2 linked regions of the Nothobranchius furzeri genome follow. The protein of the gene in region 1 interacts with the protein of each later gene in a pairwise test. Links are inferred from orthologs where the notes say so. Each region holds a gene or a part of one and is shown in the gene's direction. Other genes may lie near its edges.

Region 1 (5,984 bases):
TAGGTTAACCTTAATCTAGAGACTTCATTCAAGGTTCAACAAACTCACAAGACGTTCGGCTATTACTGGTTACAATTTTTTTTATATCTTCCCAGGTTTTTCTAAAATCACAGGTAGAAGTTGAGGTACGGCTTGAGATTTTCAGAAAAATTCACAAAAATTATAATGGGCAAAGATAGGAGCGGTGACCCTCCCTTGCTCCATTTCTGGCATTGTAATTGTACAGATAACCACCAAAGCCTTCTGCTGCTCACACTTTTTGAATTTTTCAGTTCGGTGCAGCAGTTTATGAAAGTGATGAGACATTTCAGAGGTCTGAAATGACATTTGATGCAGCTGAGAAACTGCATGAGTCATGAACACCTTGAAACAAAAATTTCCTCTGAACATATCTTTTATAGTACACTAATGATTTTCTCAAACTCAGTAGGTTTTTTGTCAGCCTTGAAGTACTGTCTCTGGTTTACCTGTAGGCAGGGGTGGACTGTCCTATCTGGCATTCTGGCCCTGTCCCGGTGGGCCTCTCAGCCAAGTGGGCCACTTGCCCATGGGCCGCCCCAAACCAAGCCCCCACCCCGTCTCACATGCGGTTATAGAGACAAGTCCGCGAGCAGCACACAAAACACCCCGTCCCTCCCCCACATTTGGCGGGATAGACGAGTCGCAAGCAGCAACCTCCCCTGTCGAGGGCCGATGGTTCATTAAAACCCCAGGGCCAAATTTTGGTCCCAGTCCACCCCTGTAGGCCTGCAGCTAAACCATAATCCCGGTATTACGGTTTTTAAGCTATGAGCCTCAGGAGGAGGACTGTGCCAGCTTTCCTCTATTGTAAAGAAGGCTTGTGTGGCTGACAAACAGCTGAAATGTTCTCCTCATATCTTCTAGAACAGCGGTTCCCAAACTAATTTGGCCATGCATTCCCCTATGTCCCGACCATGTCAATGCACCCCCCAGCCCCCACACCAGGGGGTCGTTCCCGCGTACAAACCAAAACGCCCCTTTTAGCGGCTGGCCGGATGATACACTATGGGAGGAGTTTCTGTGAACCGAATGATGTCATTTATGTATAAAATAATTATTAATAAGAATAAAATACTGATTAGAATTTAGGTGTGCTTATCTTTTTCTACAGTAGGCCTACCAAACTCAATCCACGAAGGGATTGTTTAAATGAATGTTAGCCTCTCCTTGAGAGACTTCCACATATTTAAAATTCTATCACAGAAAAGATTTTTAGTTGATTAATCTCTGTTGACATAAGTGACAGAAACTACATCAAATTTAAACTCAGCAGCCTTTGTAAACTGATTCTATACAAATTACTATTTGAAATTGATTTCAGAGCAGGTGAATTTATAGCCTAGTGAACTAGACCAACTTCTTGCTTTATGTTTATGTATTTAGCAGACGCTTTTGTCCAAAGCGACTTACAAGTGATAATCGGCATATTGCCCTTGAGGCTAACAACAACAATAACAACAACATTGACATCAATCATGGAGAGGAGGGAACAAGGAGTGGACAGTAGAGAGGGGGGACGGGTGCAGGCAAGGTGCTAGTTAAGAAGATGCTCTCTGAAGAGCAGGGTCTTCAGGAGTTTCTTGAAACTTTGCAAAGTTTGGTCTAGGAACGCTCCACTGGAACCTCTGCAGCCCCTAACAGCATTCTGGCTGGCCAATCACAGCCCTCTAGAGGGGTTTCAAACACATAAATAATACATTTATTTAGTCTGGCTTGCCAGGCTAGTGAGTTTATGGAAGATTAGGGGTATTATTATTTTTATTTACCACATTTTGTATTTAAACTTTTCATCAATTATTAATCAGAAAACCTCCGGCTCTCCTCTCCTGGACCTGCAGGCTTTACAGAACCAGCTCTAGTGCCCGGATCTGAACTCCGATCATGAGCTGTTGCTTTTGTCTGATTACCGATTTCATCGACCCGGTTACAACTAGCATGGCGACATCTAAGGCGTCACGTGAGCTACTTACAGACGGAATTCGGGCGGTTCTTCACACATGGCCGGTTTTACAGGTGAGCTTCGGAACCAGGTCCACCTGAGACGGACAGGTGGTTTCACAGAAATACAAACATGTGACGTTTAGACGGACAGAGACATGATCTGCGGAAGCTAACAGACCGATGCTAACAGGTTCACGTGTTTTTATTTAGGCTTTTATGGTTTTTGAAAAAAATCTTGGACTTCAGTGCAGATGTGATTCTGGTTCTGGTTCGTCCGAACTCCCTCTAGACGGACCGGTTTGATTTAAAGTTCTGACACGACTCGGTTAGGGTTAAGTTATGGATAACACACACTCAACACTGTAGCCACAGCTGCCCCGGGCATGCTACAGGAGCCACCGGTGCCTCCGGGCGGCCACCAATAGCAAGGCTTGCCCAAAGGCACAACTCACACTGATGGAGCCTGGGTACGAACACCCCTGTTACCCTGGCCTGGCCTGCCAGACTCGTGTTCTGTTTAAGAAAGCGTGGATCTGGCTGGTCAGGCTACTGTTACCCACCGGTTACAGGGCGAACTCCTACCCCACGAATTTGACATGTATTTATATTGTTTTGTGGTCTTAATTATATGTATAATCGCAGTAATTATATTTATTTAGAAGATATGCAGTAATTATCTTGAATCACTTTCTAGACAAAACTTCAGCAGCTGACCAGGGTTTGGCCCACATGGGTCAGCCACGCCCACCTGCAGATAATTGGTGGAGAGAACTGCTAGTCCAAATGCTCTATTTTAGTAACCAATCAGTGTTATCAGGAAACAGCCTGATGTGACAGCATCTTCTTCAGTGCCTGTGAAGTTCTGGTGGGTCCGAGACGTAAATGTGTGTGTTTGTCAGATTGCTGTGGACAACGGCTTCGGAGGCATCTACGGCCAGCAGAAGGCCGAGTGGATGGTGGATGTCATTCAGCAGTATTTCTACGACAACAGTAGGTAACCATAGAAACAGCAGACAGAACATCTGGTCAGGTGACCTTCAACCTTTTACTTTTGAAAAGCAGCAGCTCAATTCCTGTTTGTCCCTTATGCACGTGTGTGTGTGTGTGTGTGTGTAGCTGACCTGCAGCAGTATGAGGTTGAGGACTTCCTGTCTGAGCTGATGGATCAAGAGTTCAACACCATGGTGGAGGATGGGAGTTTGCCCCAGGTATGCGCACACTTGTGACATGTCATTCGGATGCTATCTCACCTGTAGTAACCAGGTACCTCCCGGTTGTGCACAGGTGTCGCTCCATCTGCTGCAGGTGTTTGGTCTGTGGCAGCAGGGGGCGCTGCAACAGCTTCAACAGAAGGTTACCACATTAACTCAAAACAGGTCGCAGAGGGCAAAGGTCACGGCTCCACCTACTGAGTCTGATGAGAGCACTGATGAAGCTCCGGTAAGCATCACCTGTGATTGGTTTAACTTTTATCTGGTCATGTGACCACATGGATCAGCGCTTCACTTTGTAAATGTAAACATGGCTGCAGAATCAGAGCAACACCGGGTCAGAACCTGTGGACAACCAAACATCTGTTTGCTCCAGATGTTCTTTAATTGATCATTGGATGGGATTAAAGTTGAATCAAAGATCCGACTGGTTCCAGCTGGATTTAGGATCTTACAGGTCTGGTTTGAAGGTCTGCTGGAACCAGTTGGACCCAGTTACCTCTGATTGGTTCTGAACCAGAGGTCACCTGCTGTTCAGATGAGTGGGAGACAATTCATACTCATAAATCTGTCATCCAGTGGAAACAAGAGATTTAAATATTTGTTGCATCACCATGTAAAGTTACAGGTTACCATGGCAACAGTCAAATAAAAAACGACCCGTGTGTGCAGGCAATGGAGTGTGACGAGTCCACCCCATCAGGCAGCTCAACCCCTCATCCCCCACAGGACACCGAGGACAGCTGGACGCTGGTCAGGAGGAAGAAGTGAGAACATGAAGAGCAGAACTGGAACCGTATTAACTGGACTTAATGGTTCCAGCTGCTCACATCTGCAGAAACTGCATGTTCAAGCATGAGCTGCTGTGTGAAGACAAGTCCATTCAGGAATCTGGTGGAGCTTGACCAGGGGTCGACTGGAGTCGGAGCATCATGGCCGATTCACACGGGTCAGGGTTAACCTAACCAAGGCTGATGGGTAAGGGTTAACCCTAACCAACCACAAATGTTTCAGCGTGTAGAAATAAACCTTTTGGAATCCTGATGTTTAAATGATCCGTTTTATTTGCTCTGATGTCATTTTCTCATTTCAAGTCAGAATTCTCACAAGTACAGGAAATGAAAGGCTGAAATATTTCTCTTTGATGTTTCTATACGAGTTTCTGAGTGACGCAAAAAAAAAAACACCTTTATTGTAATTTTTTAGATGAGCCTCAGAGTAAAAGCAGCGTTCAACCGGCAGTCCATCAGCATCCCTGGAACTAAATAGTCTGTAGAGTACAGCAGTGTCCACATTTAGACAGAAGAGTGAAACGATCCTTTGGTTAAGGATGAAGGGTTAATCATCGTTAAACCGTGGAAGAGGACTCTTCTCGGGAGGTTCAGCGCCACGCCGGGACGGCTGGAAGGATTCAGCTGATGGGTGGTTTGGGTTTGTGGTTGGAGATGGGCTGGACTCCGACTAGAACTATTCCTAACCTGGTTAGGTTAGGGTTAACCCACCCCATGGAGTCAGGTCAGAACACGTTTTTATTTTCACAGGAAGTGTCCCACACAAGCAGATAAACACGTCACTCTACATCGTCAGTAGCTTCTCTGGAACAGAGAGGATGGGTTGTCTTAAGGCACTTAAGTAAGAAAAAGGTAAACACAGGTGAGACAGGATTATTCAGTAAAGCGGTTTGTTTCAGCTGCAGACCCGTCCTCACCACCAGGGGGCTCCAGCAGTCTGATCAATAATCACATTAGGAAGTAATCAGGAGGTAAATACTGATGCTACTTAATGAAGGGTATTACAGTTCTTCAGTTGTCCAATCAGAGCAGTCAAAACCGACGAGTCACAAGACTCAGCTCGTTCCCACGTGATCCTTTAATCTGCTTCCCACACAGATTAGTGAAATCAATCACCTGTGTCTGGTCTCTGTGCCAGGGACGTAAAAGTCTGAGGAAATGTGGCGATTTCATTCAGATGGAAGTCGCATTTATAAACATCACAAACGTCAGACAGGTGAGTCGAAATCAGGTGCGTCTATATCAGTCACAGGTGTGTGTAGATCAGTCAGACAGGTGCGTAAAGATCAGTCAGACAGGTGCGTGTAGATCAGTCTGACAGGTGCGTGTAAACCAGTCAGACAGGTGCATGTAGATCAGTCAGACAGGTGCGTGTAAATCAGTCAGACAGGTGCGTGTAGATCAGTCTGACAGGTGCATGTAGATCAGTCAGACAGGTGCGTGTAGATCAGTCTGACAGGTGCGTGTAGATCAGTCTGACAGGTGCGTGTTAATCAGTCTGACAGGTGCGTGTAGATCAGTCTGACAGGTGCGTGTTAATCAGTCAGACAGGTGCGTGTAGATCAGTCAGACAGGTGCGTGTAGATCAGTCTGACAGGTGCGTGTAGATCAGTCTGACAGGTGCGTGTAGATCAGTCTGACAGGTGCGTGTTAATCAGTCAGACAGGTGCGTGTAAATCAGTCAGACAGGTGCGTGTAGATCAGTCAGACAGGTGCGTGTAGATCAGTCAGACAGGTGCGTGTAGATCAGTCTGACAGGTGCGTGTTAATCAGTCAGACAGGTGCGTGTAGATCAGTCAGACAGGTGCGTGTAGATCAGTCTGACAGGTGCGTGTTAATCAGTCAGACAGGTGCGTGTAAATCAGTCAGACAGGTGCGTGTAGATCAGTCAGGTGCGTGTAGATCAGTCTGACAGGTGCGTGTAAATCAGTCAGACAGGTGCGTGTTAATCAGTCAGACAGGTGCGTGTAGATCAGTCAGACAGGTGCGTGTAGATCAGTCTGACAGGTGCGTGTTAATC
Region 2 (5,975 bases), on another chromosome or scaffold:
TTCTACATGGAATTACTCCCCGGGCGAGGCCCCCTTTGAGCGCCCCCCCAACCGCCCCCACCACCACCACCACACCACCCCACCTGCACGAACACACACGTTTTCCAGAAACAGGCATGTTTTATTAGAACGACTATTGAACATTCATTTTTCTAAGTTGCACATATTTACATTAATTACTATGAAGTTGTCAGAATGTAAAGCAATATACATTATACACTGTATCAAAATATATAGAATCAAATATACAAAAACAACTAAACTAACTAAATATTAAGAATATATGCACATAATATATAATACATATTCTAAATAGCAAAAATATTTCACACATAACAAACTAAAGATAATCACTACAGCACTGCACCTAGAACAGAAAACACAAACTAAAATTAAAACCTAACCTTGATGCAAAGTCATCAATAATGTCATCATATGAAATCTGCTCCCCTACTGAGTGATTGATACTAATCAGAGCCAGGTTAGTGAGCCGCCCCTGAAACATAGGTGACCTCAGGTATGACTTGATCAAGTTTTGAAAAGCTCCTCTCAGCTTGAGCCACAGTGACTGGCAGAGCAGTCCAAAAGTTGGGGTAGATCTCCAATAGATCTCATGATCCATAATATTTTACAATTGCCTCTGAAATTGTAATTTAAACTGACATAAAAAAAACTGTAGACTACCAAAAATGCTAACTTTTACAGAACAAATCATGTAAAAAATAATCAGTGCAGCCATCTGCAATAAATAAACAGGATAGTTAGTGGTGACTGGGGTGTTTTCTTCTGCTTGTAGAGTTGTTTTATTTATTATTATGTGAACTTGATCAACATGTGTTTGTTGTTGTTCAGGCAGGCCACAGGCTGCAGCGAGCATTTAACAAATCCTAGTTTGAATCAATAAAAAACGATTCAAGGAATTTATTCGAACCATTTGAATATTCGTTTCAATATTTTCAGCCCTATTAGCTCTGTTAGCAACTAGTTGACCGGATTTAACCGTTAAAATCCCAGTTAACTGGTTCAAAAAATTGAAAACATTCATCATGAGAGCGACCATACCTTTATTTTTCTCCTCTTTTTTTCTTTTTTATTCCTGAATCGGGCACCTGTTGGTTTTAGCCTTTTTATGTTCATCTCTTCTGTTTGGCTCTTGACTCAATAAGTTTCCTTTAGTCAGGACTAAACAATTTGACCTTGATGGGGGGGTGACCACAAAATCGTTTTGTTTTTCCTTTTTTTATTCGGCCATTTCACACAATTCAGAGAAACCTGAAAGAATGATAGGCCTGTGTTTATGATATTATGAATTAAATGTGGAAGAACATCAAGATGTGATCGACTTTAGCCATGTTGATAGTTGATTCAGCCCCTACCCGCTCATTTCATTTGGACCCACCCAGAGGTGAATTCCCCCGCCGCACCCCTCCCCTTCCTCTTCTTCATACACACACGGTGCACGGAGCGCCTGCAGCTGCAGGGGGCGCCAACTTGCTGTTTCCAATCCAGACACTGTCATATGACAGATAATAGAAAACCTCGGTGCGGCGCAGATTTCCTTTTTTTTTTTTTTTTTTTTTTTTTTTTTACTCAGCGCTTGTGCGCCCCTTTTGTGTCATGAAAAAATGCCGCCCCGGGCAACTGCCCTGTCTGCCCGTGCCTAAAACCGCTACTGGACAGACACATTGTAATTTGAAACTCAAATTGACTGCTCTTGCATTTTATTTTTAAATGTCAGATTTTATAGAACAGCTGTGGCAGACGTCTCACACTTCTTAAGGTGTAAATGTGATCTAAACCTGTCAAACTAAGTAAAAGTAATCATTTCAATAAGAATGGGAAATGTCTGTCTCAATTAGTACTTATGTGGTTTAGATGCAACAACATGCCGTAAAAAGCAAAAAACTGAGCTGGTAAATTCCCAAACCTGGGATAGCTGTTCCAACTCAGTCAGCTAGCAGCTAATAACTAATACCAATCAATTACTGTATAATTAATTTGTGAGTCTAAAGCAATGCTTGAAAAGTGTTATCTGGGTTTTTCTATTTAATAGCAATCAGGATTCACCTATTTTAAGTGTAAAGTCAAAACGTGATTTTTAAAACCACTTATGAATGCAATAAATATATAAAAATAAAATAAAACAGGTGTCTATTCATGGACAATAGACTTGTAGCCAAAGGTAAAAAAAAGTAGTTCCATTAATCCTGTATTTCTTGAAAAAATTGTATTGTACTACCGGTATTTTGTTGTATCAAATTCTTTTCAAGCAAATGTAATCATTTGCTATGATAGAAAAATGCATCATTGAACAAAATTGTTTACAGTATTTCGGAGCTAGAGCTTCGTTTTTTAATTAGCGTAATTTTTATGAAAGTGTAAAGCCCAGAGAAAAAGATAAATAATTAATGTTTTAACGTGTTGGTGAAAAGCGACCACAAAGCTGAATTTCAAATAATATATTTTTATTCATTTAGGAATCGTGCAACGCGTTTAGGTTTAATCACGCAACCGGAAGTGCTCTTTTTGTTTTTATATCCCTCCGCGAATGCTTGTTTATTAATTTTAGTGCTTTTAAAGTTCAGTGCATCCTCGTTTTCTGTTCAGACTAACTTAAAGTCGATCTATTCTCATCTAAATACCAAAATAATAAAACAAACGAGAAATAACATATTTTCTTCAAAATAAATGCATTTAGGAACGAAATGTATTCAGAGGGCGGGGTGGATGGGTTTTTTTGTGCCGGTGCACCCTCTTCCGGTCCTCTTTCTAGCTTCTCGTGCATCATGGTGAGTGAGTTTTAACGACGGCGGCAGTGTAAAAATAACAAAACTTGTTTTTCACTCGATTGCGCTGAAGCTGTTTACACATTTTATACATTATAATCATACAGCGAACTTATATCTTAGAGAATTAAAGTCAAACATAACTTATACAGAATGAAATCTGAATTTGGGCCTAATGCTAATAGCTAGCATGCTAATCATTTTGTACATGTGTTACGTCTGATGGCAAAAGATCCTGTCATTATTTGTCTTGAAACTACATGAACCGAATTGTGCTCACGGCATGTTAATTCTAAGATATTTATCTAGTAGCTTGAGTAGATACAATTTAACTTGTCTTATGTTGCGGGAACCACCTCATAATGAACTATCACGACTACCAGTGAACCAGAGATTCGTTCACTTCGTAATAATTTTATATAGAGTTAAGAGAGTATACCTTTTGGGTTATAAATTATGTAAGGTGCATTGGATGTCTTTCTCAGTAATGTGTGGACAATAGCATTAGATCTACTGTATTTCATTTGAGAACGTTTAAATGGTAGTTGTTAGAAGCAGTCTCATGGCAAACAAGGAAAGACGTTTTATTTTTTCAGTGAAGATTTAGTACATATTTGTCTTATACTAAGATAATTGCTAGTTAAACTATACAGGAAGTGCTGTAAAATAGTGTTGAAACCTTTCAGATATGTAGGTTTTAATTCCCCGATGCTACACTTTGTTTTATGGTCAAGGATTTTATTTACAGATTGAGCAAATTTGGTGCCATTCTAAGGTGCTGGATAATTGTTACAAATATGAAGAGTATTTCAAGATAACACAAGGTGCTCCACTAGTGCAGTAGCACATTCAAAAATTATTTTCAAAGATGATGACAAATAAATTAAGAGTGGGAAATATAAAATGAGGAGGATAAACAATAATAAAAATGTAGAGGTGTTTGTTGCATGTAATCTTGCATCATGGACATAATTTAGCAGCCTTAATTGTTTTACTTAAATATTAATATGGCAACTTTTTGCAGACCAAGAAGAGGAGGAATAACGGTCGTGCCAAGAAAGGCCGCGGGCATGTGCAGCCCATTCGCTGCACCAACTGTGCTCGTTGTGTACCCAAGGACAAGGCCATCAAGAAGTTTGTCATCAGGAACATTGTAGAGGCAGCAGCCGTGAGGGACATCTCAGAGGCCAGCGTCTTTGACTGTAAGCATCTTCTGAACCTTTTCGCTTTAATCCAGCTCCCTTGTTAAGCAACACCAAAGTAACGTTTGGTGTGAATCAACTTGAGTTTTACAAAATTTTAATTATTATATGGGACTAATTAATATAACAAAGCTGTATTATTTTGCCTTGTAAAAAAGTCAGAGCTACAGGTGCTCACCAGCAGGGACGATTCGCAGATTTTTTTTTATCACTAAGGCTCAAAAGTCCACAACAATTATATTTGTGATATATATATGTATGTATGTATGTATGTATGTATATATATATATGTATGTATGTATGTATGTATATGTATGTATGTATATATATATATATATATATATATATATATATATATATATATATATATATGTGTGTGTGTATTATGTATTCTCATAAACTTGGATGATTCTGGAGTCTGGTTCTAGTCAGTTTTTTTAATTTATTTTTTTTACTTTTTCAGCATATGTTCTGCCCAAGCTCTACGTGAAGCTGCACTACTGTGTCAGCTGTGCTATCCACAGCAAGGTAGTGAGGAATCGCTCCTGTGAGGCCAGGAAGGATCGCACCCCACCACCAAGATTCAGGCCTACTGTGAGTATCATACACAATTTGTTGTAAAAATAACTGGCTAATGTGGAAATTTACAGATAAATATTTTGGAAAATTGTTCAAACACAAACTCCTGAAACCAAGTAAAAAAAAAAAAAAGACATCGTCATTGATTCACTCATTTATCTGAACTTTCTTTTTCTTTTCAGGCTGGTGCACCAAGAGCTCCTCCAAAACCCATGTAAAGCAGAATCTGAACATGCCGTACATCTAACAAAGAAAATAAACAATCTTTACAACAACTTTAATGTGTGAAGCTCTTCAATCTTTTGTGATTAAAGGAAAGAAGTTTAGTCAAGTTTTTTTTTTTATTGGCGTAGACTTGCAGTACAGAACTTAAAGTAGTTTTATTGGTCATTTATTAAAATGTGTAATATCATACATTTAAAAATGGCTTTTGTCATTCAAGGCAACAAAAAGGATATTTAAGCTGACAAAACTAGAAAGCAACTGACCGTCACAAAGCCTGGATGTTTTTAAGTATAATCTTGGAACGGGTGGACCTAGTAGTAGTTTTGAGATGAAAACAACCAGATGTTGGTTCAGGAGCAAATGGCTTTGGTACAACACCTATCACCTTCAGAAGCACATCACCATCCAGTGGTCAGGGGAATATGTTTGTGGGCAAATTGTGCTGGAGAAACTGGACTGAAAAGTTTATGGACTTTTCAACAAAACACTATAACGTTTATTTTGTCAAATCTTTGCATTTTATTGGTAACCATGACCATTTTTGACAGTCAGGTGAAAACTGGTTTAGGCTGTTCTAATTATGGTGTGGTGGCAAAATGTTAGCAATCTGCTTTTAAACCATTCAGTTTTTTGGGGCCGCTGATTAAAGCCGGGGTTTTCAGTTCCACTAAAACGTGTTTGATGCCACCCCTCCAGGACCGGAGTTGAATACTCCAGGACAGTTGAAGTATTTTTCCTGTTAACTGATCTATATTGTCAGGTTAAATACGTAATACCTCAAACACCAAGTTTGTCTTTTTTAGGAGTAATGATGATAAACTTTGTTGGAAGTCTCACATAGATCATGTGAAACGGAAATTAAGTATTTCTATTCTTTATAAAACTTATTGCACAAGAGCAGCCTTTATTTACTGTACACTTCCCTTTGCTTGCCTTATGCGAGTTATTGTGTGGAAATTTGGGGGAAAACATAAAACATATCTGGATTCAATTTTTAAATTGCAAAAAAGAGCTATTAGAATAATAAATAAAATGGATATAGGGAGTCCACAAACCAATTTTTGTAGGACCAGCTATGTTAAAATTTAAGGACATATATCTTAAAACTTTAGAAATGATGTATAGAATGGTGAAAAAGAATGTTCCAATTTGTATTTTAAGTATGTTTAAATTAAGAGACGGA

What was found.
Region 2: the proteins of tsr2 (region 1) and small ribosomal subunit protein eS26 interact in binary tests that used the Homo sapiens proteins (3 or more experiments, as listed by UniProt). The two-hybrid records come from large-scale screens. The link is inferred for Nothobranchius furzeri from reciprocal best matches to the Homo sapiens genes TSR2 and RPS26.

What each region holds. Positions count from the first base shown.
Region 1 is NC_091755.1:47,642,466-47,648,449, forward strand, and holds tsr2 (pre-rRNA-processing protein TSR2 homolog), read left to right. Parts: upstream 1-1,938; 5' UTR 1,939-1,956; coding exon 1,957-2,034; intron 2,035-2,861; coding exon 2,862-2,952; intron 2,953-3,078; coding exon 3,079-3,170; intron 3,171-3,246; coding exon 3,247-3,402; intron 3,403-3,845; coding exon 3,846-3,944; 3' UTR 3,945-4,225; downstream 4,226-5,984. UniProt on the Homo sapiens protein: May be involved in 20S pre-rRNA processing.
Region 2 is NC_091743.1:48,632,303-48,638,277, forward strand, and holds small ribosomal subunit protein eS26, read left to right. Parts: upstream 1-2,663; 5' UTR 2,664-2,705; coding exon 2,706-2,789; intron 2,790-3,810; coding exon 3,811-3,988; intron 3,989-4,451; coding exon 4,452-4,582; intron 4,583-4,749; coding exon 4,750-4,785; 3' UTR 4,786-4,842; downstream 4,843-5,975.